Caenorhabditis elegans: one gene and its partners. The protein of the gene in region 2 interacts with the protein of the main gene of each other region in a pairwise test. Each region holds a gene or a part of one and is shown on either strand. Other genes may lie near its edges. The genes, in order: cki-1, cye-1 and cdk-2.

Region 1 (7,935 bases), on a different chromosome or scaffold from region 2:
CATAAATTATTAGGTTCCTCTTCTTTCGCTCATCGTCTGTCTCTATCCGCTTTCATACACATCAAATGTCTCTATATTGTGCCGCCTGTTTTAATTAAAAGGAAAACATTGAGCAAAAAGTGGAGAGTACAGACAATGTTTGCGCATATTGCAATCTAATTAGGTCCATCTATAGGCATTCCGATGATTTATGTACTGACTTGACCCTACCGACACAAGGGTGTTCCCTCTTGTGTATTCTTCGATAAGGGGAAGGAACCGCCAAATTTGCATACGTTCAGGCGAGCGTTTATGATGAATAAAAACGGAAGCCGAAAGAATACATCTGCCCTTTTTATGCCTTGTTGGCAGCCGGTTTGCATAGATAATATTGATGTGTGCATGCAAAAGAAGAAGCCGATGACAAAGAAGACAGACGATTGTCAAAACATTAAGCCTTTCATCTCACCGTTTTATAGACTCACATTATGTACTGTATTCTTTTAGTGTCTTTCTAAAAATCTTTGTAACTTAAAATGTTATATATTGACAACTGGACTAGGTATACGGTACTTATTTCTCTCCTCACATTTGTTTTTCAGAACTCCCACTAAGCCAGTTCCAGTGCCTGTCACACTGATCTTGAGTTAAAGTTTTTGCAAAGATACTTTTTCCACTAAAAACCTCGTGCGTGAACAGTTTCTTATCGCTTCTCTCTACCGAACAAAGGTTCTCCAACGTCATCATTTTTCGATGATAAACAATGATTTCTACTTTTTTTGGTTTGGCACAACGCCAAATGTGTCATGTCTATTTTTCAATGGGAGTCTATAAAGTTGAAGGATTGATGAATCCAGTGGAAACCTCATAAAACCATCAAGCTAACTGTGTGGCGCAACCGTAAATCAGGCGTCACTTTATCGACCACCATCACTTCATTTTCTCACTCTTTTATTTCTGGATTGCAATTGGTACCAGCTGGTTGAGAGAGGGTAGGAACAGATTGAGAACTGTTCCAAACAACGTTTAAGTGCGTATTTGACACATCTGTGCACACATAGGTCTCCTTCTTTCCCCATTCTTCACGCGAACGTTACAATGTGTGAGGATCGATTGCATACGGACCATGTCCCACTCTTGACCGGATTGAGAGAGGTCATCCAGCGGAGCGAGATGGCATGCCAACACTAATCCACAGGAGGTTATTCAACTCACTATTGTTTAACGGACATACCTATTCACAGAATATTCAATGAATATAATGAATGGGGAATTGGAGCACAAATTTGAATTTCTACCAAACGAAAGACTGCAAAAAATATATTTTGGTAGAAAGCACATACCGTATTTCTTCTATTACTATTGCACCATATTGTTAAACTGAAACGGTTTATGTCTCAGTTGCCGTTTGTCTTATAAAAAAATTGTCAAATGTCAAAATATTTATTATTTGTTTTTTCTATAGTTTCGTAATTTATTATTTAATGATAACTTTAATATAATAAAAGTAGTAGGGTGCAATACCATTCGATGATATACAGTATTCTCCGTTGACAACACACTACATTAAAAATTTAGAGAATTAGTTTTAGAAAAAATTTAAAAATGAACAATTTCTTACGGAAAATATATATAGAGATTCTTTACAGAAGAAAGTTTTCAGAAATTGTTGATCCATTTCAAAACGTTTTGAAGAGCTATTTCAATTCCCCTTTTATTCAATTCTTTCACTTTAAAACCACATAACTCATTACTCCAAACCACTAGCTCCATCTCTCTATCCACGTCACATAAATTTCTGTTCTTCTCCATCGATCATCGAACGATCCCGGAGAGGGACGTAGTGCCCCTCCACGCCACGTAATAGCCCTCCCGTTCCCTCTTCAAAATGTCTACTCGGAGATTGAATGCAAACCGCAATAAAAAGTCCGTTCCAAGGTCTTCTCGTGGGGAACTGTCTTTCTGGGTTGAATAGCACATAAAATATAAGAAAAGGGAGGAGGACGATGTTGATAATGTACTCTCAGAAAAAGTTATGCAATAAAAATGATTTATGGGACTAGAGAAGGTCCATTGATATGATGACTTGGTGTTATGTAATTAGTAATCAAACATGCTTATTTATTATTAGCATATACTCATAAACGTTCCATATTACTCAATTTGAATTAGAGAAGCCTAATCCGGCTGGTAGCTACCTAAAATTCACGCAATCTTCACGCAATGTCTATTTGGGTGGCAGTGGGTGAACCGGGAAAGATTTATTTGATCTTACAACATTTACAGAATGTTTGAAGTTTGAAGTTAATGAAGAATGTTAGAAGTTTCAAAATTATGCGCGGAATTGTACCACTTTTCGTGATTTCAGTATATTCTTTGCTGAAGTTACCAATGGAACTGCACCGTGTGCCAGTTTCTATTCGTCTTTTTTTTTATAAGTTGAAGAAAACACCAGAATACAGTTCTTAAAATAATTTCAAAGGGTTTATTTTTCTTTGAGTTGTTTAAAACAAATGGCAATGGGAAAAAAGAGTTACAGAGTTCCTAAACATGGATCACAGGGCTTTTGGAACAAACAATAAAACATTTGTGGAAACATGACTAGTTGAACAATTAAGAGAGACTCAGAAACTGTCGAGGAGATAATCAAATGATTAGATTCAACCCGTGGAATTGGGCAAAAAAAAGTCAAAATGAAACCTCTAGTATGGAGAGCATGAAGATCGAGTTCTGATCGTTGGACGACGAGATTTTGGAGTGAAGATCACATTCACCGGAGACAGCTTGTTTGGAGACAACGAATTCTTCTTACGGGAAACTGCCATGAAGTCGGTCATCTTCTGCTGACGCTTTGTTGGGGTCTTCCGTGGAGTTGGTGGCTCTCTGAATTGCCACTTCTTCGGTTCCTCTTCATCTTCGAACGAGCTGTTGGGATCCATCAGCGAGGGCTCCTCCTTATCAGATGTGCTCGGAGAGCTCAATGGAGTCAAAGTCGTTGAGCTGATGTCCAGCGATGAGCATGTGGTTCTGACAGTGAGAACTTTGGTTCTGAAAAATGAAACTGTTTAGTAAAATAACTATGAAAAATTTATAAAATTCAATTACCTGTAGAACTCCGGAACACAATTCTCTGGAATAACTTCATAAACGAATCCAGCAGAGCTTGGGAGGGGAGTCTCCAGTTCAAAGTCGAATCCCCATTTCTGGCTTTCTTCCTGGCGCATGCGCTTAACAGCATCTTCAAGCCAAATTCGAGTCCTGGAGCGTTGCTCGGGCGTCGGACGACCGAAAAGGCAACGACGAGCAGAAGACATTTGAAAAGAGTGAGGAAACCTGGAATAATAATAGTTTACATAAGAATGCATATCAAAATCGCAGTAAGAAGAAGAAGATGAAGTAAAATCATAAGTAAAATTGTAAAAGATGTGACGATGCTCTCAAGCGAGACGCCCTCCCGTCAGGAACACACATACATTTGAATATATATCCATCGAGGGAATAGCGGAAAAGAGGGGAGATACACGCCTTCCACGAGAAGGGGTGGAGTCATATGCGCGGAGGCAAAGAGGGTGTAATAGAGGGGTACTGAGGTGGTGGCCCGGTCATCAAAGTGCCCGAGGTCAGCAGTCGGAGAAGAAGGGGAACGGACCAAACAAATATTCAATGCGCAACGACTGGTGGCACCGACTCGGACCACGAATGAACGGAGGGGGATCAGATTTCTTTTGGAATGCCGTACTTTTTTGTGCGGAACCGAAGTGGTCAGATGAGAAGCATAAACATTTCGGAAAGTTCTTAGTGACGAGAGATATCTGATTATAGAGACGCAGAGAGAAAAATTAGTGCTCCGTGATTATGAGGAAACAGATGACAGATTGCACTTTTGATGAGGGCACTCAGTCAGAGATCTAGACAGTGAGAAGCTTTCGTATTGAAATGCTCAGAACTATCAAGATTATGGTTTACGAGATGTATTAGAAAGGTGAAAGGTTTTGACTAGTGAAGTATGGAAAAATGTATTTTTTTCTAGAAGAGAAATTATAAACAAATTGGCTTGCTCATGTCTGTCTCACTCCTTCTGTCCACTACAATATGTGTCATTTTTGTAACAAAAACATTTCCCATCCGGTTCTTCTTTCTACTCTTTACTAAAGAGGCACCTTCGTGCTGGATGGTGGTACGACTATGACTAATTGGATAAATAAATAGAATACCGTTGTGTTGGATGGGAGGAATGTATATCAATAAGATGACTAGTCTAAGGTGTATAGTTGGATGGGTAACATGATAGGAAGAAGAAGCAGTGATAACAACAATAACAGCCGGAAAGCAATACGGTACATTTGGTGACAGTGAGGAGCTCTGTTCAAATAGGCGGTCTCGAGTACTAGATAGTTGACCCTACGATTGGTCAACAAATAATATATGTGAAAGAAGACTGTGTGTTGTTACTTGTGATTAGGAAAAGGAACAGACAGAGAGACGACTAAGTGACCGACATTTTTCAAAGAAAGTAAAAACACAGGTGGGTTCTATGATTCACACCAGTTCTGTCTAAGCTCTTTGAGCTCAACTCAATTTAAAGAATAGTTATGGAAATGAGGCCTAGTTTTAGTTAGATACCATACATTACAAAAAAGAGCCAATTTTTAAAAAAGAAAGAAATTATGAACTATCGTAATACTTTAGAAAAGTTTTAAATCCTAAAATAATTCAGAAAAAGTCTTGGCAATTTGTCATTAAGAACTACCAACCGGCTGCTCGATCTCAACTCTCAACGTTTTGCACCGAGAAACGAGCATCTGTCCGGCTGGTAGATAGGATATGTGTGCGCAGAAGGGATTGTAACGAAGAGTGGTGTGGTTAGCTGAAGGAAAAGAGCCAGATGTTCGAAACGTTGAGCCTCGACCAGCATAACAAATTATGTAGCACGTAATTATGAAACCATTCACGGTATAAGATGAAGCTCAACCAGAACGGTAATGAGAAAAATAAGAGAGAGGAAATTAGCTTTCCGTGGGAAAAGCTTAGACACATTAGGAAGATGTTAATGTCATTAAGGATTAGAGGTGAAGCCGGAATAAATTAACAGGTTAAAATGAAAAATGAGACCACCCAGTGAAGCCGCACCTGTTAACTACTTCTTTTCGGAAAGAACAGATCCAATAAACATATCGGCGAGTTACAAGGGGGCGGAAAACGAACAAAATGCGAGAGAGACAGCTCGTCTCTTCTATACTTCGCTCCGCCCATATTTTCCGTTTCGACGCCGCCCCTGGTGTTTGGCACGTTGCCAAGAACAGAGAGAGTGCTGAAGAAATAGAGACGCAGCGTGTCGCATCAGTATCGCTGCCCCGCCACCACCCGATCATCGCAACTTTTGTGTTATTTCGTTGGTATGATTGAAGCATGAAAATAGTACGGGAACTGGTGGAAAGTTAGGTTCTGGCGTGAAATTTGTTGATAAGATTACTGCTATCGTTATAATAATTTTGGGTAATAATGTAACACCTTTTGAAGCACTCTAGTACTTCAGTTTGGTTCTGGCAGTTATCAGCGAGAGAAATTTTGAAAAAGTATTACCACGAAATATGGTTTTTTGCTCGGTGACTGTACATTTGTCAAGTGATAGAAAGTTTTGAAAGTGTTGAATAGAAAGTGGCTGACTGACGACCTGCAGGTTGTTCTTATCAATAAGTTGAATAGTGCTCCAAATGGAAAAGACATGTATATGCACATAAAGAAGCGAATGATAGTTCTTAAGAAATAAACGTCATGTTGAAAATAAATTGTCGAAATGGTTACTGAACAAGGATGTGCAAAAAATATTTTTGGCAAATCTACAGAACTGCTGATTTCAAAATGATAACTCAACTTTTCGAATCAAAAACTAACATAGATTTATATTGAAATTTTTCCAATATTTCTATGCCAAGTTTATTTTTATTTTTAAAAAAGGATCAACGTGCTCAAATTTGCAGTTTTGTAGATTAGAGGAAAAATTTTACAGCCCAGCTGCACAAGGACATCGCATAGTTTTTTTAAAACAAAAATCTAAAATTTCAAAATTTGCAGACCCTTCAATAAATAATTCTAACCTAACTTTCTCTTAGTACTTTGATACTGCATTTTCCCTTTCACTAACCTATCCCTTCCATGTTTGTTTCATTACTTAGAATCTTATCTTTATATTGAAATCTCAAATACTTCTTGTGAGTACACCGTCTTAAAACCGACTAATTCATCATCATCTTCATCAAGGGATCGTCTCAGATCATATGATGCCGAAACGGGTTTCAGATCTCTTGAAAATTGAAACGGTTTTCCCAGCACACAAACAAACAACTTCATGAATGAGAAAAAAGCGGCTTCATCTCATCCATTGACACCGTTTTCCCGCCTAGATCCCCGCCAAAAGATGTTGAGGGAAAAAGGAATTTGCGAAGAAAAACATAAACATTTTAGCAACATTTTCTTGCGAACACACATGTTGAATGTGGGGTAACTGGGAGGCCGGATAAAAGAAATAAATTTTGTCAAATTCATGTAATTTCTTTTGTCTTTGAGTTCCGAACCACTTGTGCCACTCGGTGAGAAATGAGAAGATGAAACTAATTTTCGAGGGAGGCAACAACGAACTGATGGAAATTAATTGGGTTTTCAAGAAACTGTGACACGTTCGAAGAGTTCTTTTTAAGTGGTTTGCGGTTTGGGGTATGGCTCCGAGCTCATGGCTTTTTACAATGTTGTACTCTAAATTCTCGAACGTTTTTTTTAATATGTGCAAACAACTGACTAACCAAAAATTTTGACAAACAGAAAGACAAATTACAGGAAGCATAGAACGTGGACCACCAAACATGTGTTTGTAGTCAACTTTGATTAAGTTTGATGCATAGGCATACAACTCTTGCCTACCTGCCTACAATGCATTTACGTTAGTAAAAACACAAGCTCTACAAATGTAGAGAATATTTGTTAGGTAACTAAGAAAGCAGGCAGGCATGATTGAGACGGGCGTCGTCTACGACATCAGAGCTACTTTAAAATATAATTATATGGCACGTAATTTTATAGTTTAAGTTGTTGAGTTTCCGTGAAACAGAATTACGAACGCAAAATCAACAAGCCATATTTTTTTGTTTTTTAAAATTTCAGTCATAATATTTTAAATTTGTATCAACACGGAGATTTTATTTTGACCTTCTCAGATACTTTACTTCATAAGTTCACCCATCCCATGCCAATTTATATTATTGTCACTGTGCCCTACTTTTTATTTGGATGATTTAGGTTTAATAATCGCATAAGACTTTTATAAAGCCTTCAGAAATAAAAAACGACTGAACATTTTAGAATCGCGTTCTCAAAAAATCTCTCTCGATTTTTTTCAAATTCAATCATTTCGCGCCACGCGAAAGAAATTGAAAAAAAACCGGTCCACATTTTACTTTTGGCGCCAAGAAATTTCGACAGCAAAATTTTCTCTTTCTTTGTCTCATTATTTCGTTTTCACATGTGTGAGGTGAGCGAGTTGGAAAGCAAAAACAGCAGGGCGAAATGGTCATTTTCGCGCGCCCCGCAGCTGATCATGGCAGTACGATTGGCATGATGCCAATGAAACATGTGATCAGAAGGTGTCTAGTCATGTTTTTGGTGATGATGACTCAAATTGAATCGCAACTGAAAATAATTTGCTAGGGACTGAAAGCAATACGGTGTGAGCTATTATTACTAGGGAGAGAGAAGTAGGTTCTCAAATATTACAAAATCCTACGATCATCCCTATCATGGATATAGATGAGAGAGTTGAAAAAAAAACAAATTTTTAAAAAATGATTTTCGCTTTTAAATAAAAATCGAGCAACTAGGCTTTTTCGAACAATTGAAAAATAGTCTTATATTATTTAATTACTAATAGAAGAAAAACGGCAAACTGATGTATGTATTTTTCAA
Region 2 (10,483 bases):
AAGTAAGCAAGCTTCTTATCCAAGTTGATATTTTTTGAGCCAAACTTGGGCAAGAGGTTTGTTCAAATGCAGAGATAAGTGCAAATCAATGTAATAAATATTGGAGACTACTCGGAACAAAACTTTGTAGTTTTTCTCCTCGGGGAGTACATGAGCTATGTAAATCCACACATCGTTTCTTCCATTTTCAAACACAAAAGTATCTTATTCTTGTTATCAAAACAGTCTTACCTTAATTGGTACTTCTTTTTTGAGAATTGGCATCTGTGGCATCGGTGGTAAATCATCGTCAATTTGTGTGCTATTATTTTGAGTTTCCAATGATGAGATAGATGTTTGTGTGCATATTGACTCGTACATCATCTAAATAATGATAAAACTGTTTTTCTTACTGTATAACATATGTGGTTAGTCTTACAACTCGTCGTTTATGGTTTTTTGATATATGATATTCAAGATCTGTTGTTTTTTGAAACCGTTTCTCACACCCGTCGTAGTGGCAATCGTGAAGTTGAGCTCTGTAAGAAAATGAAATTGCAAATTAAAGTTCGGAGTTGTTTTAAAATATATTATATAAAGTTTGTTGTTGCATAAATGTGTGCTATAGAAGATTTTGAAGTTTTTTTCTTGTATAAATTTCTAATTAATTAAAGAAGAGTCAGTGAACAAAGTGATTAAAATTACTCCTATGTTGCTGAAATGACAAAAGATCACAGTAAAACTTTTTTTAAACAAATACTTAAATGAAGTCGACCACAAAATGTTATTTTCAATGAGTTCGATATTTCAAAATCTTTAAAATTATTTTTAGGAGTTCAAACATGCAAAAAACCTCTACATTCATCAAAAAGTTCATTTCACAAAAATTTTTCAATTTGCCAAAACTTTGTCTGAAATGTTGACATTTATGAGTGTTTTGTTTTAATGGTTTTTAGTGTATTTCTACATTTAAACAAAATCCTCAAAGCTGGAGCAACTCCACTTTTAAAAGTTATAATTAAATTTGGCAAATGTTGAACTTACACATCAACTTCTACGAGCTCGCATTTCTTAGATCCGTATTGTTCATTATTTTGATTTTCATCCTCTAAATCATCATCATTTGTTTCTTCTTTCTTTCGTTTTCCTTTTTGTTTATCACCTTTCCCGTCTTTCAGCACAGAACCACCACGAGCTCCACGACCATTTGAGCTTGCCGAGCTTGATCGTCTGAAATATGTTAACTATTTTTATTTTTAGCCAAAATGCAAACTATTGACTTTAGGAATTTGTAGTGAATAAACTTTATCAGCATTAATTTCACTATATGTCATTAATTATACCAACTCACCCATCTTTTCCTTCTTCATTTCCAGAACTACTTGCAGTTTTCTTTTTATTGTTATTGTTACCCATTGATGATGCAATATTGTTTGTCAATGAAGATGCCATTGGAGGTAGACCATCACCAATAAATCCAATAAGATCACATCCTTTTACACGGAATGCTAATGAATTCTTTGTTCGGTACATAACAGTAACCTCAAGAGTCATCTGGGATCCTGGTGGGGTATCCATTATTGCTTCATTGCATAAAAGACCAGATGTATCTGTTGATCGTGTTGTGATCACATTTGTTCCGATATCTCGCTGAAAAGTTGAATATAAAAATAATGAAATGTATAATTTTTCGTTTTTTAAAGTATTGATTCGTCTATTTGAATTCCCTGCAAAATGATAAGCCACGCCCACAAACGAAAAATCGTCTTCGAACTACGTTCATTCCGTCGATTATTGGTCTTGCAACTCACACTTTGGAGCAAATTCAAAACACTTACTAAAACTTAAAGAAAAACGTTTTGAAAGTAGAATTTCAACTTTTTCACTTAATATTTACTTTTCATTTGTGGTTTTTCGGAATTTCAGACTTACAGGCGCAATTTTGCTTTTGTTGCTCTAATATATGGTACCCGGTCTCGACGTGACAATTTTTTGTTAATTACAAGCATGTGTGTGCCTTTAAAGAGTACTGTACTTTAGAAATTTCGTTGTTGTTGAATTTTCATCGATTTTTCTCACAATTTGTGTTGAAATGTATGTGTTTTTAATTGTTTTTTAAAATTTTGTTATTAATAAATAAATATATTTTTATCGAAAACTAGGAAAAATCGATGAAAATTTTGCAGCAATGAGTTCTTAATTACAGTACTCTTTAAAGGCGCACACGTTGTTGTATTTAATAACATTGTCGTGTCGAGACCGGGTACCGTATTTCTGGTGCAAAAATCGCAATATTTCGCGTCTGTGGTGATGAAGCAAAATCTATTTTTTACAATTTTCAGAATTGATTTAATTTTTCTTACTTTTGCCCGTTTCGAATGTGGTGCAGTATCAGGTGTCTTCTGAATAGGCATCATTGGTACTGAAACTATGTCTTCGTCAGTGAAACATGCTGATATAGCAATGGTAGCCATATGAGAACTAGATCTTTTGGATCTTTGTGGAGTTGTTGAAAGGTTTGAAGATCCAGATGATGATGATGAAGAGGCAACTGTTTCAAGGCTTAACTTGCGTTTTTCACTCGAAAAAATATCTGTGGACTCTGAAATAATATTTAAATTTCAAAAAAAGCTCTTTAACTACGAAGATACAAACCTTTACGCTTTCTTTGAGCTTTTTCTGTGCTCTGTGGTGGTTTCATCAGTCCATTTTCCTTTTTGGAAGGTGTTGGACTTTTTGATGTTGTCATATCGGATGAAACAGGCGATTGAGCATGTTTCTCATCTGACATCTCTTCAACTTTTAAATCTTGTTCATCGATTAACTTCGGAGAGAATGATGATGTTGACTCAACGACAGCTGGAAAAATAAACCGTGTTTTTTCTTCAATAAATATTTTTTATCAAGTTTTTATGAGTATATTTACTTTTCTTGGACTCTCTGTTAAAATTTCGAACATTCTTCTTATATTGCGCTCATAATTTTTTTTTAAATGTTAATGAAGAGAGCTATTTGCAGTAGACTATCTAAGCAATTTAATTGTTAATTTTTAATTTTTAGTGCCTTCGCTTATCTATTTTGTTTTTAATAGCCTGAATTTCCATTTCCCTAGAGGATCTCTCGAAAGTTTTGAAATTATTTGAGCAGCTACGGTAGATGCGACTTTCGTGCATTTACGCGTGGCGGTGTTCACACTGATCCCAAAAATTTTTGTTTGAAATAAATTGCTTTTTTTTCGCAATCTTTCATTCTTATTCATTGCTTTTCCGTTTACCATTTTCATACCATTTTCATCTGTTTTTTCCACTTTTAAAAATTCTTCTCGCATTTTATCAGTAGGCTCGGATATTTGTTCGTCTTTGACAAGATCTTCTGGTTTTTCATCAATTTCTAGTTGTATTTCTTCATCAATTTCCATTGGTTCAATATCATCATTCTCATCATCCTCATCTAACTCGCCGTCTTCTTTTCCAGAAGTTTCCGCTTGATCGTGAGCTAAATGCAATAATTTTCAAGATTTACGAGAAATATTTTTTTTTTCTTAAAAAAAATTTCAAACGAAATTTCAAAAAATTATTTAGAAGTTTTTGTTAATCATTGAAACAAATAACGTACCGTCATAAGTTGTTTGAAATTCGGGGGTTTCCTGCAACGGTGGAGGAAGAGGTGGGGGCGCTGAAATCGATGGTTTGTCTTCCGAATCGGACGGACTTTCATCGATCTGTAGACGACCCTCGTCCTCATCGTCTGACATGTTGCTGAAAATTTGAAAATTAAAATTTTACAAAAGATTTAATTAAAGCAATAATCAAATTTTTAAAATACAATTTGAAATGAGAGAAATTTTAAAAATAATAGATATAGTTTTGAAGGTTTTGATACTTGAAAAACGTTATCCTTATTTGGTAGCTTATGAAAACAAAACAAAAACAACTGCAAGATGTGTTTCGGATGTTTTTTCTTCATTCTCTCAATTGTCTGACATCTCCGGAGGCAGTTGCTGTGCCCTCTATTGGTACGTGTCGATTGCCTGCGTCTCTGTGTCAAGAGGCACCCTCTCATCTCTCTGGAGACGGCAGAGAAACATGAGATCGTGGTAAGACCATCAGGGAGGACGGCGGCAAATCGGAGGGAACGCGCGAAATGAGCGCGCGATTTGAATCTAGAGACCATATGACGGAGGTTGTCTGTAGTTGACCTTTTTCGGTTTTATCTGAACTTTCACAGATTGATTGCGTAATGTCCACTAGACATTCGTTATGGTATAATTGATATTTCTTTATTAATTTTCATTAAATATCAGATATCAATCTCTAAATTTCAAGCATAGAAAGTATCGTGCAAACATGAACAGTTTCATGAGCTCAGTTTATATTTTAAATTCACACCTAATTCAAATCTTAAATAATTTTTAATGGAATAACTGCAAATCTAAATCTAAAACCAAAACGACCTTCATTCACTTGTACCAAATCTTATCTGATTTTATGAATTTAAAATCTTATTCTTCTTCACCTCTGACTGATAGTTTATGTTCTCCCTATTGTGTACACTCAAAACTGCACAACATTTGTTATTTGAGCCAGTTTCAGTCGTTATCTTCCTATTTATTTGTTTTTGAATATTTTGAATAGCTCGACTTGATATTTTCAGGGAAATTTGATCAAAATGGCTGGAAGAAAGTCATCAAGGACGGCTGAACGTGTCCCCACTACACAAAAGCCAGAAAGAAAATCTGCTATTTTGTAAGTTGAATTTAGATGGATATTAGAGAACTGATAATTTTTAGACTTTATAAATATTTATTCATCTTTCGAAAAATTTTAATTTTCAGATCTCCACATGACGAACTGCGTGAACGTCTTCTGGAGACTGCAATTGATATGAAGGAAAATATTCCACAACGAAATACCCGAAATTCGAGCGTTGGAAGTCAGAAATCAGATTGTTCTGAGACAAGAAAACGACGAAGTACTAAGGTTTGTGTGCTTATCAGTGAACATTTTAAGATGGAACAAGGGAAATGAAATAGAGAGTGATAAGAAAAGTACTTTTTTAAATTATAATATTACTACTTGTACAAATGCCTAAAGAGATTTTTGCTTCTAATTTTTCGAAAACCGTAAGAAAAACTGTCAAACGATTGCGGATTGTTACTAAGCTGAATGGGGGTAAGGAATACATTTTAATTTGCCAACAAAATTAGCAAATATTTCTAGATTTAAACACATTTTGCTATATTTTCAGTTTTGAATTTAACTTATTTAGGTAACAGCATTCATCCAGAAACACAATGTCTAACAAATTAATTGAATTTCGTGGGTAACTAACTAACAGTCAAACGCTCAATATTGAGTAGTCTGGGTTCTACAGGAAACATCTCTCGTTAAATAATTTGCAAACAAAGTTTGCACTGAGAAACAGACACTTTGTATTTGACCAGTGTAATAGTGCGCCAAAATGTACTCATTCTCCCGTTTTCTTTTTTCTTCTCTCATCTCATGTTCACACCAGCACCTCAGATTTGCGAGAAAATAAGACGCAGACATCGATAGTCATAGTGACCAGTCTCTTTCGTATGCAGAACACAGTTTTGTGTCCGCTTTGTATGTCCAATACTTGTTTGCCGTCTGAGTCTCACTGTTCATCTGGGGGTATAGCTCAGTGGCAGAGCATTCGACTGCAGATCGAGAGGTCCCTGGTTCAACTCCGGGTGCCCCCTAAATACTTTTTGCATTTTGGCTTCTGCTTAGAATCATGACGATCAAATAAGTTTCCTAAATTTGAACAAAATTATATAGTGGTTCAATCTTGTTTGATAATTTATTAATTTTACAGGAAGGTCCAGCTGCAAAACGTCATTCGGGCGAGAAGCATCGAAATGGTAGCCGCGAAGATTCTTTGGAGTATATTAGTGGTAATCTAGTTTTATTAGAGTAAAAATGATATTCTGTTTGAAGAATATTCAGATGATCGTGAAGTTGGATCTTCATCATCACAATCATCAAGAACCCGTGGACAACCACTTCCAGCTATGCCTGAGGAAGAAGAAGTGTTTGATAAATCATCTTCATCTGATAATCTTGCCGAATCTGAAGAAAGTCATGAGATGGTCCGATTGGAAGAGAGACAGGATATTGAAGAAGAAATTGAGGATGATTTTGATGATGAAGAGGAGGATGTTGTTAACGATAAAGAGGAGTACGAAGAAATTGAATCTGAAGATGAAGATGGTTAGTTTCAAAAATACTCATGATGCGTTTGAAATTATTAGCATTTTAGATCAAAATTTGATAAAAAATAGTGTCTCCAAAGAGAGTATCAGTGTTTCAAGCTGAAAAACCTACCCAATTTTGATACAATTTAGATTATCCTGTCCAAAACGAAGGATTTGCCGTTACAAAACGGCTCATGAACGACGAACATATGGTTACGGCTCCAACGTTTCTCAGCACAGCAAAATGCGATGGAATAGGATCACCAACAAAAGTTTGGTCTCTTATGGTCAAACGAGACGAAATTCCACGTGCTACACGATTCTTGCTTGGAAATCATCCGGATATGGATGATGAAAAGCGACGTATTTTAATTGATTGGATGATGGAAGTGTGTGAATCAGAAAAATTGCACCGAGAAACATTTCATTTGGCTGTTGATTATGTTGATAGATATTTAGAGTCATCAAATGTTGAATGTTCAACGGATAATTTTCAATTGGTCGGGACGGCTGCTCTATTTATAGCTGCTAAATACGAGGTAACAATCAGGGGTTTCACTGACACATTTTTCGTTTTTTTTTTTTAGCAAAACCGAAAAAAATTCTAAAACACTTCAAAATCGATAGTTCTCAAACGGAATTAAATATTTATATTACGATTTACACCCTTTTTCAAAAATCCAAAAAAACCGGCAAGCCTGGTAATAATTTTAATAAAATATTTCACCGATCTAGAATTTGGGTTCAATTAATTTTTTCACAGTATAGATTCACATTAATTTTTGTTTTTTTTTTCAGGAAATTTATCCACCTAAGTGCATCGATTTTGCTCATCTCACCGATAGTGCATTCACCTGTGATAATATTCGAACTATGGAAGTTCTTATCGTCAAGTATATTGGGTGGAGTCTTGGGCCAATCACAAGTATTCAATGGCTCTCAACATATCTTCAATTACTCGGAACCGGCAAAGTAGGATTTTAAATTTTTTGTTGATTAAAATATTTTTTCAGAAGAACAAGTCTGATCACTACGAAGAGCAAAACATGTACGTGCCAGAATTACTCCGTTCAGAATATCTTGAAATGTGTAAAATTCTCGATTTTCTGCTATTTGAGATCGACTCATTTACTTTCTCCTATCGTACCATCGCTGCTGCTGTTCTTTTTGTCAACTATGAGCCAACTTGTGCTGTTGAGAAGGCTACCGGATTTATGCAGGCTCAACTTGAAAAAGTTATTGAATATGTTGAACCGGTGTGCCGGGCGTTCGCCAAACAACGACAACTTCTTGACGATGTTATTCCAAAACATGAATCAATAAAATCGGATGATTCACACAATATTCAAGTATACGTTAAAAGGAGTTCAATGGAACCTATTGTGGTAGGTGGATATATAAAATTCATGAATTAGAGGTTGTTTTCATAATTTTTATTTTTCCAGAAAAGCGAACGAGAGAGGATTCAGCATTTAAAAGCTCGCCGTCTTCATCCGCAACGACTTTTCTAAAATAACCCGCAATAGGATTCTTTTATCATCGAAATTTCTGTAGATTACTTACTTCAAATAATCATGCACACAGGTTGTCCCCGTTAATTCTTTCCTTCAATCTCTTTCTCTCTTTCACCTAGTCTGTGCCATTTCAATATGATTGCACCCCGGAAAATATCAAAAACTTCACTTAACAAGTGATCCCATATTACAAAAATATTCAAATTCCGAAAATCGAAAGATGCATTTCCGTTTTATTTTACCGAATTTTGATGTTTTTGTAATGTGTTTAAACCCCTTTTACAATTAACTTATTAATGTTTTGTTTTACTCATCTCACTTCCCCTTCTTACTTTGTGCTTATTTTATGTTTTAGGTTTTTTTATTGTATCATAAAACTGGAAATTTTGAAATAGGCTTCTTTCTCCCTAAACTTTTTTAACAGGTACTGTAACTGGTACATATCCTCTGCCCCACCCCGCTCCCAACTCGTCTTTGTCTGTTTGTTTATACGAAATACAATTTTTAACGAGTATGCGGGTTTCTGTTAGCTTCAACAATACGATCATTCAAATTTTAAAATTAAGAAACTATAAAAGCACAGTATTTACGTGAGTTGAAACAAAATGCCTTCTCCAAATTTCTTAACACTGAAAAATTTTCGGAAAAAAAGCAGAAATTACTCCGCAAAAAATTAAGGACATCATTCCAATATTTTTTTTTACTTATTTGATGAAAAATTAATATATTCCAATAAATTAAAATGAATTATCATCTCAGGAATACTGTAGAATTACTTTAAGATTTTGGCTTATTTATATTAAGTGGTACGGTAGGGGTACTGTAGGTGTATTGCAGAGTTGTAGACACTGTAAATGAAATTCCAAAGAGCATAAAATTTATCAAAAAAAAGTTTGCGTGAATTTCTAATTAATGTTTAATCTTCTTTTTTTGTTAAAATTTGTTCAGGGTTTCTTATCAAAAAATGAATCATTATTTAGTTTCTTGGCTAAAACACTACTCATCTTCGTAGTTTCTTGCCGTGATGTTTCAAGCTTTGTTAAGTAAGTTTGAGTGAATTTCTGGTTTTGGTGGAATTTATTCTGATATCGAAAGCTCTATGTCTATTCAATCAATTGATGAAAATGCGTAAATAGGGAACTATGCACACACGGCGGCTCAGACTGATGAAGCTTTTCTAGTTTTGGAGAATGAGGTCTAATTGAGCAAATTTTCAGCAAAACTCAAAAATAATGCGGCTTTGGGAGCAGCTGCAAATAACTTGAACAAGTTCAGAAGTTCGAATCTTGGTAATCAGAGACGTTCTGTCTCAGTTGCTGTGACATCAACATCTCCGAAATCGGAAAAGCCAGTAGCCAGGGAACATATGATTTATGATGAAACTCATTTTGTCATGCAGAAGAGTTTGGGAAAACTTATCGAAGAAAAAATCAATCCAAATGTGGCAAAATGGGAACAAGACGGGCGGTATCCAGCACATTTGGTATTCAAAATGCTTGGAGATCATGGTGTTTTTGGTGTTAATAAACCAGAAGGTAATACGCTTTTTTTAGCTAACTTGTTTTATTAATTAGTTATCCATGCAATATTATTATTTGATTGGACTTTTCAAAACGAAAAAGTGTTACCACAAAAAACCAAAAGCGTAGATTTCAGAACTTGGAAGAATAACTTCCAGGTTACAATTAGAATATCAGAACACCAACTTTTTGGGTTCTAAAAATGTCAAGAGCCTGTAAAACTACATCATTCTAAAATGTTAAAAAGATAGTACTGGTGGGAGGAAAACCTTAAAGATACAAAAAACTGCAAGAATAATAGAATTAATACGGTGTGTTATTTCTCATTTTTACCAACGATTTTTAGCATTTGGTGGAACTGGAACGGATATTGCAATGGCAACAGCAATTGCTGAGCAGATGGGAGCAATTAATTGTGGATCAATTCCAATGTCAGTTATGGTTCAGACTGATATGAGTACACCTGCACTTGCACAGTTTGGTGAGTATTTCCGTTTACCACCAAAATTAGAAATAATTGAATATTAGGTTCTGATGCTCTTCGCGAAAGATTCCTTCGTCCATCAATCACTGGAGATCTTGTCAGTTCATTGGCTGTATCTGAACCACATGCTGGATCCGATGTATCAGCTGTGCACACACACGCACGTCGTCAAGGATCTGACTTGATAATCAATGGTTCGAAAATGTGGATTACAAATGGTGGTCAGGCGGATTGGGCGTGTGTTCTTGTGAACACATCAAATACATCGAATGTTCATAAGAATAAATCGTTGGTTTGTGTTCCATTGGATGCTGTTGGAGTTCATAGATCAACTCCACTGGATAAGTTGGGAATGAGAAGTTCGGATACTGTTCAGTTATTTTTTGAAGATGTTCGCGTGAGTTTTGAGACACAAAAAACAATTATTTCGTTTTCAACAATGATAATTTCAAAATACCAACAAAAAAGTTCACCACGAGTTTTGAATATTAGTTTTTCGTTGATTATTTGTGCTTGAACATTCTTGCATCAATTCAGGACCTTTACCTAGTTGCGTGATTACAGTACACATATTTTCACTTTTTAAAAGCAATAGTAAGAAATTTATTTCAATTTTAAACTAAAATCCTGCAGGTCCCTTCATCTTACATAATTGGAGAAGAAGGTCGTGGATTTGGATATCAAATGAAACAATTCAATGATGAACGTCTTGTAACTGTTGCTGTTGGCCTTCTTCCACTTCAAAAATGTATTGATGAGACAATTGAAT
Region 3 (12,485 bases), 3.4 Mb from region 2:
ATATTATTGCGGTTATCAAAATAAATTGCCGATGAATACTCATGGATAAGGTGTCACATTACAAAAAAGATTTGTATAATGTACGAGTGAAGAGTGAAGATAACGAGATAGACATTGGGTAGAGAAGAGAGTGGCTATCCTATCAGCTCTCGAGAGATGAACACATATCAGTAGGTGTTTCTGAAATCAGTGTCGTCGAGCCATCTGAATCTCTATGGCTCGTGGCGGTATATCTCTTGCTCTCACTTGATTCCCGTGAATCTTCTGGCCAGTGATTAGAGAGTGCTTCAATCAGGGAGTCATGGGAGAGAGTAGCAGCAGGCCCTCCTCCACTCCAGGACTATTGTGCAACACGGGAAGATGGGGGAGAAGCAGAGTCAGGTGTTTAGAGTTTTTGTGAAATAACAGGGGCCCTCTTTCTCACTGGATAAAACCATTTGGCAGTCAGCTTATTAGTGATCAAAGGTGATTTGACAAAGGGCGCGCGGGAAGATAAGTGGAGAGGGAGGAGGTGACAAGAATGTTCGAGAGTATTGTCTAGTTTGTAGGTTGCCTTCACATTTCTCACTTTGGTTTTTTTTTTTGGTTTTTTATTTTAGACATCTAACAATGAGAAATTGTTGCGATAGCTTACGCAAATGGGTCTCACCACGCGAGTTACTGTAACTCGTATAAGTTTTAGTTTATAGTTCTAGGGAAATGATTATAAATGATTTCTATGGAGCTAATATGGCAAAAAATCATTTTAAAAAAGATATAAAAAAGGAAAAAATTGAAGATTTTGCTGAAAAATGTTGGGGGAAAAATCAAATTTTCTAAAAAAATATATTGCCGGGAACTTCAAAATTTCAAAAATACTTTGGGCGGTAAATTAAATATTTTCAGAAAAAAAATTTGGCTGCAAATTCAAATTTTCAAAAATAATATATGCGGGAAATTCAAATTGTCAAGAATAATTTAGGTGGAAAATTTAAATTTCCTCAGAAAAAAAGCTTTGGCAGGAAATTAGATTTTTTTCAGAACTTTTTTCAGAAAAAATATATGGCGTGGAATTCAAATTTTCTCTGTAAAATTTTGGTTGAAATTCAAATTATCTTTAACAATGTTTTGGCGGGAAATTCAAATTTTCTCAGAGAAAAATTTTCAACATCAACAAGCTTTTAGCCTTCCAGATAAAAATTTAAAAAATCACAAATAAAATTTAAAAATTCGCTAAATCTTTGGTCGACTTCCAAATAGCGATAATTGCTATTTTCCTGTGAATGAAAAAATTCGAAAACATTTTTGAAATGTTTTAAAATTTAATTTTTTTGTTCAAAAAATTTTTGTGAACTCATGCTTCAAACTATTGGAAAATTCCGGAACGGGTGAGAAAATAAGTGAATTCGTTTAGGTTATAAAAAATGAAAATAAAAAGGTTTTGATGTTCGACCCGTTCCATCTTCCAAGTTCTCTTCTCCCTTTGAACCATAAATTTCTTTTTCTCTTACACACCACACTTCCAAGGAGGAAGCGCCGAGCTCAGAACACAAGTGCAAAGTGTGATTTTCTTAACAAAAAAAAAAGAAGGAGGATAATTAATAAAACCATACCTCGTTCAGATATCTGTCAGCAGCTGGGCGCATAAGAAGTCGTTCGCTGAAAGAACAAGAAATTGAATAGAACGTATGTAACGGGATATGGCATCAATCAAATAAAGCGACGAAAAGCGTCATTTGCCATGAAAGGATGACCGCCGCCGCGCCCCGTACTTAATTGATATGAGATATGTATATTGGATTAGGTGAATACTGATTGTTGAACTTTTAGCATTGTAGCAAAAAAATTTTCAAATATGGTGTATACGGGAAGATAGAGGGTTTTGTTATGGAAACGCAAAAAAAATTGTCGTTTGAAATCGAGGTGCAAACACGCTCCCATGCCAAATGAAAATGCTCGCCCCCCAAACGTTGGGTCTCGTTAGGTATTGACGGCATATCCGTAAATTGAAATTTTTTCATTTATTTTTGAAGGAAAATTTCTTATTACCAAATTACCAGAGGTGAGCGGCAAACGGTTTGTGAAATTTATCGGGAAATCAGCAAACCGGCAAATTGACAATTTGCCGGAAAAAGGGCACTTGCCGAAACGCCAAATTGTGGCTTTGCACATTTTTTTTTGGAAATTCTAGAATTTCAATTTCAATCAGCAAAGGGGTCTTGAAAAGGGTCTTATAGAAAAATCCTCCAAATCGCCAAAACGGCAAATTGCGGGAATTGGAATTTTCCGGCAAAATTTAGCACAATTTGAATCTCAAAAATGTGAGCTTTTTTTTAGAAAGTTACATTTATCTGAAAATTTAAACGAGATATTATTGTTTTTTAATTTGCAAAATTTAATATGCATTTTTGAGACATTTTTATTTCAGATTTTCCACAAAAAGTCGAAAAAAAAAGAATTTTGTACAAAAGCTTATGAAAAAAATGCTGGTTAAAAGTGGAAAAATGAGCCGAGAGATTCGGTCACTCGAATCCATCATCTCGGACGCTCGAGAAAACACACACGAAAAAATGCTCATCAGGTGTTACAAGTTCTTTGTGCAATCAGGCGTCTGTGTCCAATATTCTTAGAGGGGGTAAAAGTGTGTGTAAAGTAACGGGAGCAACAAAAAAAATCCATAAAATCAGGAGAAATTACAAGAAGAAATGCATGAATGTAGACCGGCGAGTGTGGAGAAAAATGAAAAACGAGGAGAAGTGGAGAGGGAGACATCTGGAAATTGCCGATTTTAATTGAAAATTCGGAGGAAAAATGAAAAAAGTTGAAAGAAAGTGCATTTTTTCATTCAAATTTTGACTTAAAATTGCGATCTTGGGTCTTGAAACGAAAGAAAGTTTTCCGTTACCGTAACCCGTTCTACTAAAGGGGCACGGGTCTCGCCGCGATGAAAAGTTATGGTAGCTTTTTTTCAGAATTTTTGGGATTCTCTTGATTTTAAATGATTTTTTAAAAGTTTTTTTCAATAGATATTTTCAAAAAACTACCAAAAACTACCAATACGTGAACACAAAATTCTGAGAATGCATCCTGCACAACATATTTGACGCGCAAAATATCAAAACTACAGTAATTCTTTAAATGACTACTGTAGTGCTTGTGTCGATTTACGCGAGCGATTTTTGAAATGAAACTTAATTTTAATACTCTATCGTTGAATAAAAAAATATTTTAATTCATTTCAAAAAATCGAGCCCTTAAATCGACCAACAGTAGTCATTTAAAAAGGATTACTGTAGTTTTCGCTACGAGATATTTTGCGCGTCAAATATGTTGTGCAATACGCATTCTCAGAATATTGTGCTACTGTAATATATTTGTGTTTCTTATTCAGAAAAAACCAATATTATTAAATTTTCGAATGCATTTTTTTAACTAAGAATTATTCAAAAAACATGCCTAAATTCTAAAAATAGAAAAAAATCCGCAGCAATGAAAGTTTGAAATTACAGTATTCTTTAAAGGCGCGCACCCGTTTGCATTTCACTAAAATTTGTCGCGTCGAGACCAGGTAGTGTGTTTTTTTGCGAAAAATCGCTAAATTGCCCGTAATAGTAGTAGTAATTCGATCGTACCAGGACCCCATTTTAACTTGAATTTACTCGAGAAAATAGGAGTCTAAGCCTGAAAAAAAAACAAATAAATACATTCAATATATATATACACAAAATCTTAGAAAGCTGTTCTTTCGAAAAGACGGCGCGGTTAATTGAGAGTTTCCGAATGCGTCCAGATGCAAAATAATTGGATGTTGGAGATTTATTGACTTCCTTTTTTGTTTTTTTATTCCCCATTTCGAGGGGGGAGAAGAAAGTCAATAAACTGCGTTTATAGAATTCTCGTTTTAATATTAAAATTTAATGTCGAAAATAATTAGATTTTTATTCCAAAATCGCCTTTAATTTAACGACAAATAAATATATTCCAGAATATCCTTTGGAATTTGAATTCCCTCGGTTTTTCGCAGAGAAGGATTATCAGTGGAGCGTGATTGCGGCAATTCCTAAAAACAATTTTTAATTTGGTTCGCAGAGGCGTTAAAACGTTTTTTTAGCGATTATTAAGCCTAGGAAAGTATATAATTTTAAGAATTTTAAGTTTTTCATCAAATAATTATTGAAATTTAATTTTTTTTTTCATATTTTTAAATGATCACTACGGGTTTCCCTGTTCAAAAGTGTTTTTTTTTAATTAAAAAAAATTGTTAAATGTATCGATTCTTGTGCAATTTTATTTAATACCGCGTCCTTTCCTTACCACATTACACCGGTCACCCCCCGTAGACCGTCTCATTTGCCCTTTTGTCTAACCTGCTGCGTCTCTTGTTCTTTTTCGTGTAGCGCGGGAAAACAGAATTCAAAACCCGTCATTCTTTGAGAAACTCTTTACCGTTAAATCCTTTTTGAAAATCTTAATTATCTTCCAGAAAACAACGGGATATGACAACCGATATCGCTCCAGGTAAGCTTTTTTCCGAGATTTTCATTTTTTCAATATTTAATAAAAAATAAATAATTAAAATAATTTCCCATTTCAGAAAGAGACCTGCAAGGTCGCTTTTGCTCACTCCGGCGAATCGGCGAAGGAACGTACGGAGTCGTGTTCAAGGCGATCCACGTGCGTGACAACGTGAAATGCGCTCTCAAAATGATTCGCACCGATCGCGACGAGGAAGGCATTCCGAGCACGTGCCTTCGTGAAATTTCGTGTATAAAAGACCTTCAGCACGATAATATTGTGACACTTTTCGATATTATCTACGCAAGTGAGGCTTTTTTTGCTGATTAATTTGAAATTTGAAGTTTCAAATTTTAAATTTTAAAAAATTCATGAGACTCATAATACTGGAAAATCGGTGTGAAAATTGCTAAAAATTGATAAAAAGATATAAAAATTTTGGTTCAATCTGTAAGTAATATTTTTTTTGCGGAAAAGTTCGAAAAATCCCCTTTTTTAAGGTATTTTTCTAGGATTTCTAAAAATAAATGTTATTTTCAGATTGAACGACCTTACATTTTATGTTATTTTTTGATTATTCAAGTGAAAAAAATCGAAAAATTGAGAAAAAAGTAGAAAATCCCCTAGATTTATGAAAAATATGTTGATTTTGATGAGAAAAAAAGAATTTGTGGCCAAAATATTAGAGAAATGGCTGAAAATGCGATTTTTTCCCACAAAAAATCGAAAAACTACTAAAATGTTAAAATTGGTGTAGTCGAATTTTTAAAATTGCTTTATTAGACTCAAAATTGTCTGAAAAACCGAATTTCATACTGCTTGAAAACTTCTCAAAAAAAATGTTATGACGGCTCAAAAAAATGGCCTAAAATTCGTTAAAATTTGAAATTTGACCGATTTGCCAAGCGGTTGGAAACTATTTTTTTTTTGAAATCACCGTCAAATTTTGAGCATACGATGTAATTATCTTGCATTTTCAACTCGATTTAGGTATTTTAAAGTCGATGGACTGCGAGATTTGATTTTAAAAATTAAAAAATCTTTTCTCACCGTCCATCGACTTTAAAATACCTAAATCGAGCTGAAAACGCAAGATAATTACATTGTATACTCAAAATTTGACGGTGATTTCAAAAAAGTTAGTTTCTAGCCGCTTGACAAGTCGGGCAAATTTCAAATTTTAACTAATTTCAGGCCATTTTTTGAACTATAATAACATTTTTTTTGAGAAGTTTTCAAGCAGTATGAAATTCAGTGTTTTTAGGCAATTTTGGGTCTAATAAAGCAATAAAAAATTCGACTACACCACCTTTAAGTTTTAAATTTAAAACAATTAATTAATCAATTTCCAGACAGCAAACTCTACATGGTATTCGAATTTATCGATCGAGATCTGAAGAATCTTCTGGAAATGCTTGAGCCAACGAATAGTGTGCTTCCGCCAAACTATGTGAAGTCATTCATGTGGCAACTTCTATCAGCTCTATCGTATTGTCATCTCCGACGGATTGTTCACCGTGATCTGAAGCCTCAGAATATTCTGGTTTCAGATTCTGGAGTCATCAAAATTGCGGATTTCGGATTGGCAAGGTCAAAAAATGTTCTATAGATGTTATTTATGCTGCTGATACCGAATATTTTGATTTGAAAAAAAATTTTTTTTTTAAATTTCCTTTTATTATTTTTCAGGGAGGGTAGAGTTTTTGGGTATTTTGCTTAAATAGACTAAAACCGGTCCAAAACCAAAATTTTTTTATGACCGGTCAAAATTTCGAAAAAAAGAGCCAAATTTTGCTAAAATCTGAAATTTCGCACACTTTTCTTTGTCACAGCCGCTGGATTTTAGTTTTTCTGAAATTATCACCCTTCAATCCTTATTTTGGTAGATTATCTCGCGGAAATTCGTTTATTGAAACACATTTTGAGTCGATAGGCATCCAATTTTGATCATTTTTGGATGCCTATAGGTCTAAAAATTGTCTCAATCAACCAATTTCCGCGAGATAATCTACCAAAATAAGGATTAAAGGATGATAATTTTAGAAAAACTAGAATCCAGCGGCTGTGACAAAGAAAAGTGTGCGAAATTTCAAATTTTCGATTTTAGCAAAATTTGCCTCCTTTTTTTTCGAAATTCTGACCCGCCATAAAAAATTTTTGGAATTTTTTTGTGAAGTCTCTTTATGAAATTCGGTGGTTTTGGACCAGTTTTAGTATATTTAAGCAAAATACACACAAACTCTACTCCCCATTTAATTTATTAAAATCCAAAAATTCACCTATACACGTGTATTCAGCTCGACCAACGCATCGAAAATTTTCGAAAAAGGCGTGAAAACATATTTGAATTCGCCAAGAGGAATTTCACCGCAGCGCATGCAAAAATGTCTGCATTTGCGCGAGACGGTGTTTGCACAAATTACACCGAATGGTCGAGCTGAAAACACGTGCTATAGTGTTAACTTCAAACGAAAATATTTGGAAGATAACCGTGCCGCAGGTGTGGATTTACGAGATTCATATTTTTCATCCATTTGTATCTGATTTTCACCGCGATTTTTCTGATTTTCCGATGTTTTACATTGAAATTCTGGTGATTTCCACTAATGTATGATTTTTTTATTAATTAAAACAACCAAAATTTTTACATTTTATTTCCTTTCATTAGTAAAAATTGAAAAATTAATGAAAATCACAAGATTTTCAATGTAAAACAACAAAAAAAAATGAAAATCGGGAAATTTGGTATGGACATTTTATAAAAATAGATGAAAAATATTAATCTCGTAAATCCACACGATTATCATGCAAAATGTGTCGTTTGAATCTAACACTAGGTGGATTTTCGGATTTTCAAAAATTAATATAAAATCAGGGATTTTTTTTTGAATTTTTCACATTTATATTCGGTATCAGGAAAATTTTAATAAGGGGTTTGAATTTCCTAATCAAATTTTTTGTTAATTCCAGAAATTTCTCGTTCCCCAGTCGAAACTATACTCACGAGGTGGTAACTCTTTGGTATCGTCCGCCAGAGGTATTTTCAACATTCTGAAATTATTTTATTCAATTATTTAATTTTATTTAAAATAATATTTCCAGATTCTGCTCGGCTCGCAACGTTATTCAACATCACTGGATATGTGGTCGCTGGGATGTATATTCTCCGAAATTGCATCGAATAAGCCTCTGTTTCCAGGCGAATGCGAGATTTCACAGCTATTCAAGATATTTGAAATTGTTGGAACACCAAATATTAAGGTTTATACCGATTTGGAGAGGAAAATTCGAATTTAGAGTCCCAGAAGTACACTGTGAATAATTTGTGTTTAGAAAAACTGAAAATCTCTGAAAATATTCGATTTATGAGATTTAATTTTGAAAATAATTCATCACATTTCAATATCACTCATATGCGATATTTTGGCGATTTTAAATACGGCACAGGGTCTCGAAACGAGTGGTTTTGTGAAATGTGAAAACGTGTGCGCCTTTGAGGAGTACTGTATTTCTCAACTCCTGGGTTTTGCAGAATTTTTAAATATGGGATTTCGAGAGAAGCGCGAGATGAACTTTAAAAATCTAAAAAAATTTTTTTTTTCAGAAATCTTTCGCCTCCCCGAAATTTAGTGAAAAACTGAATTAAACCATAGAATACGTTTTTTCCGATTTTCAACAAAAAAATCGAGTATTCGGAAACGAAAAATAGTTTAAAATTTTGGACTTTTTCTTCGTTTTAGAGGAAAATAATCGAAATTTAGGTTTTATATCTTCAAATTTCGCGATTTTTGTTCCACTGAAATAATGTTTTTTTTTAATAATAAAATACAAATATATTACGAGAACATAAAATTCTGAAAATGCGTATTTCGCAACCTATTTGACGCGCAAAATATCTCGTAGCGAAAACTATAGTAATTCTTTAAATGACTACTGTAGCGCTTGTGTCGATTTACGGGCTCGATTTTTAAAATGAATTAAAATAATTTATTAATTTAAATAACGATAGAATATTAAAATTAAGTTTCATTTCAAAAATCGAGTTCCCGTAAATCGACACAAGCCCTACAGTAGTGGTTTAAAGAGTTACTGTAGTTTTCGCTACGAGATATTTTGTCAAATATGTTGCTCAATGTACGCATTCTCAGAATTCTGTGTTACCGTAATATATTTGTGTTTTATTATTTCAAAAAAAAAAAACAAAAATGGCGAAGTGTGAAAATATTATTCGGAAAATTGAATTGTTTTTCTTCCAAAAAAAAACATAAATTTCGATTATTTTCCTTTAAAAAGAAGAAAAAGTCCAAAATTTTCAACTCTTTTTGAAAAGATTTTTTTGTTGAAAAATCGGGAAAAAAAGCGTTTTATTTGAAAAATTAAATTTTCTCGAATACACTCTACACGGATTTCTGGCTTTCCTCATAAATTGAAATGGAAGAGTTTGCCGAACTAGACCATTTTGGCTCGGCCATATCTCGGGTAGATTTACGGTGCGTTGCGTGTCGCGTCGCAGCTCGATTTTAGTTGTAAAACTAAATGTATTTGTCCGTGTGAAGTACACGACTTTCCCACGGTGATTGTCGATGGAGCGCGAAAAATTTAATGAGGAAGGCCAGAACCCCGTGACTTTAAATTATTCAAAAAACTTTTAAATTCGAATAATTTTTGCAGAGCTGGCCAGGCGTCGACTCGTTTCCCCACTACAAGGCAGTCTTTCCACAGTGGCCGGTGAATTTGAAGAAGCTCGAAGAAACATCATGCCTGACTGGAAATGGTCTTGACGTGCTTCGTGAGATACTTCGTTATCCACCGGAGCGACGTCTCACCGCGAAAGGTGCTCTCTCTCATCGCTACTTTCTACAGAACGGTTTCACCCAAAACCGGCCGAGTGTCACTGATTTGATGAAGGATATCCGAGCGCAGAACAGGGTAAAGTTACTGGAATATTTGGATATTTTTTTAATGAAAAAAAATTATTTCAGACGCCACCGCTGCTGAACAATCATCAGGAGAAGTCAATCTTCTAATATATCATGTCCTCCATAACCTAAACATCGTGTACTATGTCCTCTCTTTTTACCGAGTCTTTCCTCTTCAAGGGTGTCATCGAACGAAATTATCGATTTTTTTGGGTTTTTTCAGAGAAATTCAAAAAAATCGAAAAAAAAAGCGCAATTTTTTAAATCAAATTTTGTTCATGTTGATAAGAAAAACACATGAGAAAACATATATTGTTCTACTAAAAAAGAAAAAAATTGCAAAAAATTGAGCTATTTTTGAAAAATCGGAAAAAATTGTTTTATTCAAAAAATTCAATTTTTCTAGGTTTTTATCATTTTCGTGAGAAAAAAAACATATTTTTCTACTAAAAAAATTATTAATTTTTTTCGTTTATTTTAGTGAGAAAAAACGTAAGAAAACATAATTTTCTTCTGAAAAAAATTACAAAAATTGTAATATATTTTTCGACAAATCGGAAATTTTTTTTTCCAAAAATCAATTTTTTTCAAAAAATCGGGAAAAAAAGTTTTATCTAAAAAATTAAATTTTTTCCCAAATTTTGTTGAGAGAAAACAGATTTTTCAACTAAAAAATGGTCAAAATGTTCAGAATTAAAAAAAAAATTTTTTCAGAAATTTGATTATTTTAGGAAAAATTAAAGTTGAAAAAAATTATCAAATTTCGATTTTAGAGAAAATCGAGAATTTTCGCTTTTCTGATTTTTTTTTGAGAAAAATAGCTTCAAATTTTGGTAATTTTTTTCAATTTTTGAAAAAATTACATGTTTTCTTATGCTTTTTTCTGATCCAAAAACATTTTTTTTTCAATTTTTGAAATTTCTCTGAAAAACTCAAAAAAAATTCGATGTCTCCCTTGCTCTCCACCCACTCTTTCTGCTTCATCGTTCATTTTGTATCATAATTTTCCCACCTATTTTGCTCCAGACGTTTTATCGCATTATTATTTTTATTATTATTATTTTGCTCCAAGGGAATTTCTACAAATATTTTTCATTAAAATTAAGAAAATTTTTATTTCAGTTGGAACAGCTGAAAAAGTACAAAAAATGACGATAATTTGCCGGTTTTTTCACCTTTTAAACTGAAAAAAAAAAAATCTTAATTTTAATTTTAATGAAAAATTTTGAAGCCCCTCACCTTTTTTTCATCCCGTATGGGTAGGCTTTTTCGATCTGTCACAATCATTTGCGGGTCGTCTGATCCTATATTCCCTGATTTCCCTCCACCCAAACTTTATTTTAATCGTTTTTTTCTTTTCCATTTCAATTTTATTATAGAACAAGAACAATAGGTTTCTCCTCTAACTTTTCCTTTTTTCATTCCTGTAAGAGTATACTCTCTTACTTTTCCCCCCGCCCGCCGAAAACCGCTCAGATTTGTGAGTGGATATAGGGGGGGATCTTTTCGCGATCTTCCCCTACCCCTTTGTTTGCTCAATGAGCCCCGGCTCAACACAAGCCGACAGCATCAGCACCAGCACCAAACCGCGCGTTTAATTGGTTCTCGGGTTGTGGAAAAGGTAGAAAAAAAAACTTCTTGAAGCTTCGATATTTGATATCAACTGAGCCAGCCAAAGAAAAAAATTGCGTGAAAAGGTGGAGAGTATTGGGAGAATGAGCATTTATTGAAGGTTATGTGAGAAATTGGATGAATTCGGGTTTTGAGTGGGTAATGAAGAACAAACAAACAAACAACTTGTAAAGGTACATTTGATTGTACGGATAGCCCCCGTGGGGAAACTTGTGTTATGAGTTGTGAAGCTAAACTTACAAAAATTATGTTTTACATTAAACGGAAATTCGTTTCGATTTTTCAAAAAATGTCAAGTTTAAACTCAAAACTAGGGTCCCTGGTCTCGGAGCGACAATTTTTCGTTATGCTGAAAAACGTGTGCACCTTTAAAGAGAAGTACTGTAGTTAACAAGTTTATTGGCAGCGATTTTTCATTTTAGTCTATTACGGGAACACAGTATTCTGAAAAACAGCACATTTGACGCGCAAAATATCTCGTCGCGAAAACTACAGTAATTATTTAAATGACTACTGTAGGTCGATTTACGGTATCGATTTTTTAAATGACTTAAAATTTTATCGGTAGAATATTAAGAATTATGCAAAAATGAGAAAATAAGGCTCATTTCAAAAGATAGAGCCCGTAAATCGACACAAGCGCTACAGTAGTCATTGAAAGAATTACTGTAGTTTTCGCTACGAGATATTTTGCGCGTCAAATATGTTGTCCAATACGCATTTTTCCAAATTTTGTGTTCCCGTAATATATATTATTTAATTAATTTAACTTCATAATTTAACTTCAAACTGCAGTTTAGCAATACATTTTTTGATGAAACGAGAAATAGTTTTTAGTTTTTACACTATGAAGAATGGAGGAAATTGAGGAGCACTCGCGGTTACGGTAGCTGAGAAGCTTTGCTCGTTACGGGACCCAAGCTTTCAGTTTCGCCTGGAATACGCACAATTTTTCGCAGGTTTTAGTGTCTTAACTGGAATTTTAACTGGAAAATTAACGACTTTAAAGGCGCGCGCATTTATAAAAAAATGGTCCCGTCATTGGTCTCGCTACGCGCTCAACAAATCAATGGGATGTGCGTGGCGAGACCATTGCGCGAAAATGCGCGCGCCTTTAAAGTCGTAGAAGTGGGAAAAAATGCACTGTATGAAAAATCGACGAAAATTCCACAGCAAAGAAAGTTTGAGACTACTCTTTAAAGGCGCACACCCGTTTGTACTTTACAAAAAATGCGTGTGGAGACCGGGTAAATACCGTAGAGCTTTGTTTTTTTTTCTAGTAAATTTCAAAGTTTTGCAGTTTTGGTTTCTCCCGATCTTCACCAAAAGAAAACAACACAAATTACCACAAAAGCTCTCTGTTTGTTAATGTCGGTATCGAAACGAGCTATCCAAATATCAAAATTTCGCAACAAATTCTCCCTTACCTCTCTTTCTCTT

The links.
Region 1: the proteins of cye-1 (region 2) and cki-1 interact in a two-hybrid assay, tested with the Caenorhabditis elegans proteins (one study listed by BioGRID).
Region 3: the proteins of cye-1 (region 2) and cdk-2 interact in binary tests that used the Caenorhabditis elegans proteins (3 or more experiments, as listed by UniProt).

What each region holds. Positions count from the first base shown.
Region 1 is NC_003280.10:7,806,617-7,814,551, reverse strand, and holds cki-1 (Cyclin-dependent kinase inhibitor 1), read right to left. Parts: upstream 3,313-7,935; 5' UTR 3,294-3,312; coding exon 3,085-3,293; intron 3,028-3,084; coding exon 2,682-3,027; 3' UTR 2,447-2,681; downstream 1-2,446. UniProt on the Caenorhabditis elegans protein: Negative cell-cycle regulator that functions at the G1-to-S-phase transition. Required for suspension of the cell cycle in dauer larvae and starved L1 larvae.
Region 2 is NC_003279.8:6,776,174-6,786,656, forward strand, and holds cye-1 (G1/S-specific cyclin-E), read left to right. Parts: upstream 1-4,632; 5' UTR 4,633-4,647; coding exon 4,648-4,724; intron 4,725-4,813; coding exon 4,814-4,958; intron 4,959-5,629; exon of another isoform or gene 5,630-5,701; intron 5,702-5,817; coding exon 5,818-5,896; intron 5,897-5,939; coding exon 5,940-6,212; intron 6,213-6,346; coding exon 6,347-6,735; intron 6,736-6,994; coding exon 6,995-7,168; intron 7,169-7,209; coding exon 7,210-7,581; intron 7,582-7,641; coding exon 7,642-7,707; 3' UTR 7,708-8,223; downstream 8,224-10,483. Other genes in the region: pqn-21 (C2H2-type domain-containing protein), read right to left, coding at 232-363, 419-518, 1,024-1,209, 1,331-1,629, 2,343-2,581, 2,635-2,838, 3,265-3,474, 3,595-3,733; acdh-5 (medium-chain acyl-CoA dehydrogenase), read left to right, coding at 8,735-8,753, 8,928-9,245, 9,577-9,711, 9,759-10,111, 10,348-10,483. UniProt on the Caenorhabditis elegans protein: Essential for the control of the cell cycle at the G1/S (start) transition. In association with cdk-2, regulates proliferation, quiescent state and cell fate during the development of several cell lineages.
Region 3 is NC_003279.8:3,405,550-3,418,034, forward strand, and holds cdk-2 (Cyclin-dependent kinase 2), read left to right. Parts: upstream 1-4,463; 5' UTR 4,464-4,475; coding exon 4,476-4,497; intron 4,498-4,573; coding exon 4,574-4,801; exon of another isoform or gene 4,802-5,846; coding exon 5,847-6,084; intron 6,085-7,462; exon of another isoform or gene 7,463-7,464; coding exon 7,465-7,531; intron 7,532-7,596; coding exon 7,597-7,755; intron 7,756-9,165; coding exon 9,166-9,423; intron 9,424-9,476; coding exon 9,477-9,521; 3' UTR 9,522-10,819; downstream 10,820-12,485. UniProt on the Caenorhabditis elegans protein: Serine/threonine-protein kinase which, in association with cye-1, regulates proliferation, quiescent state and cell fate during the development of several cell lineages.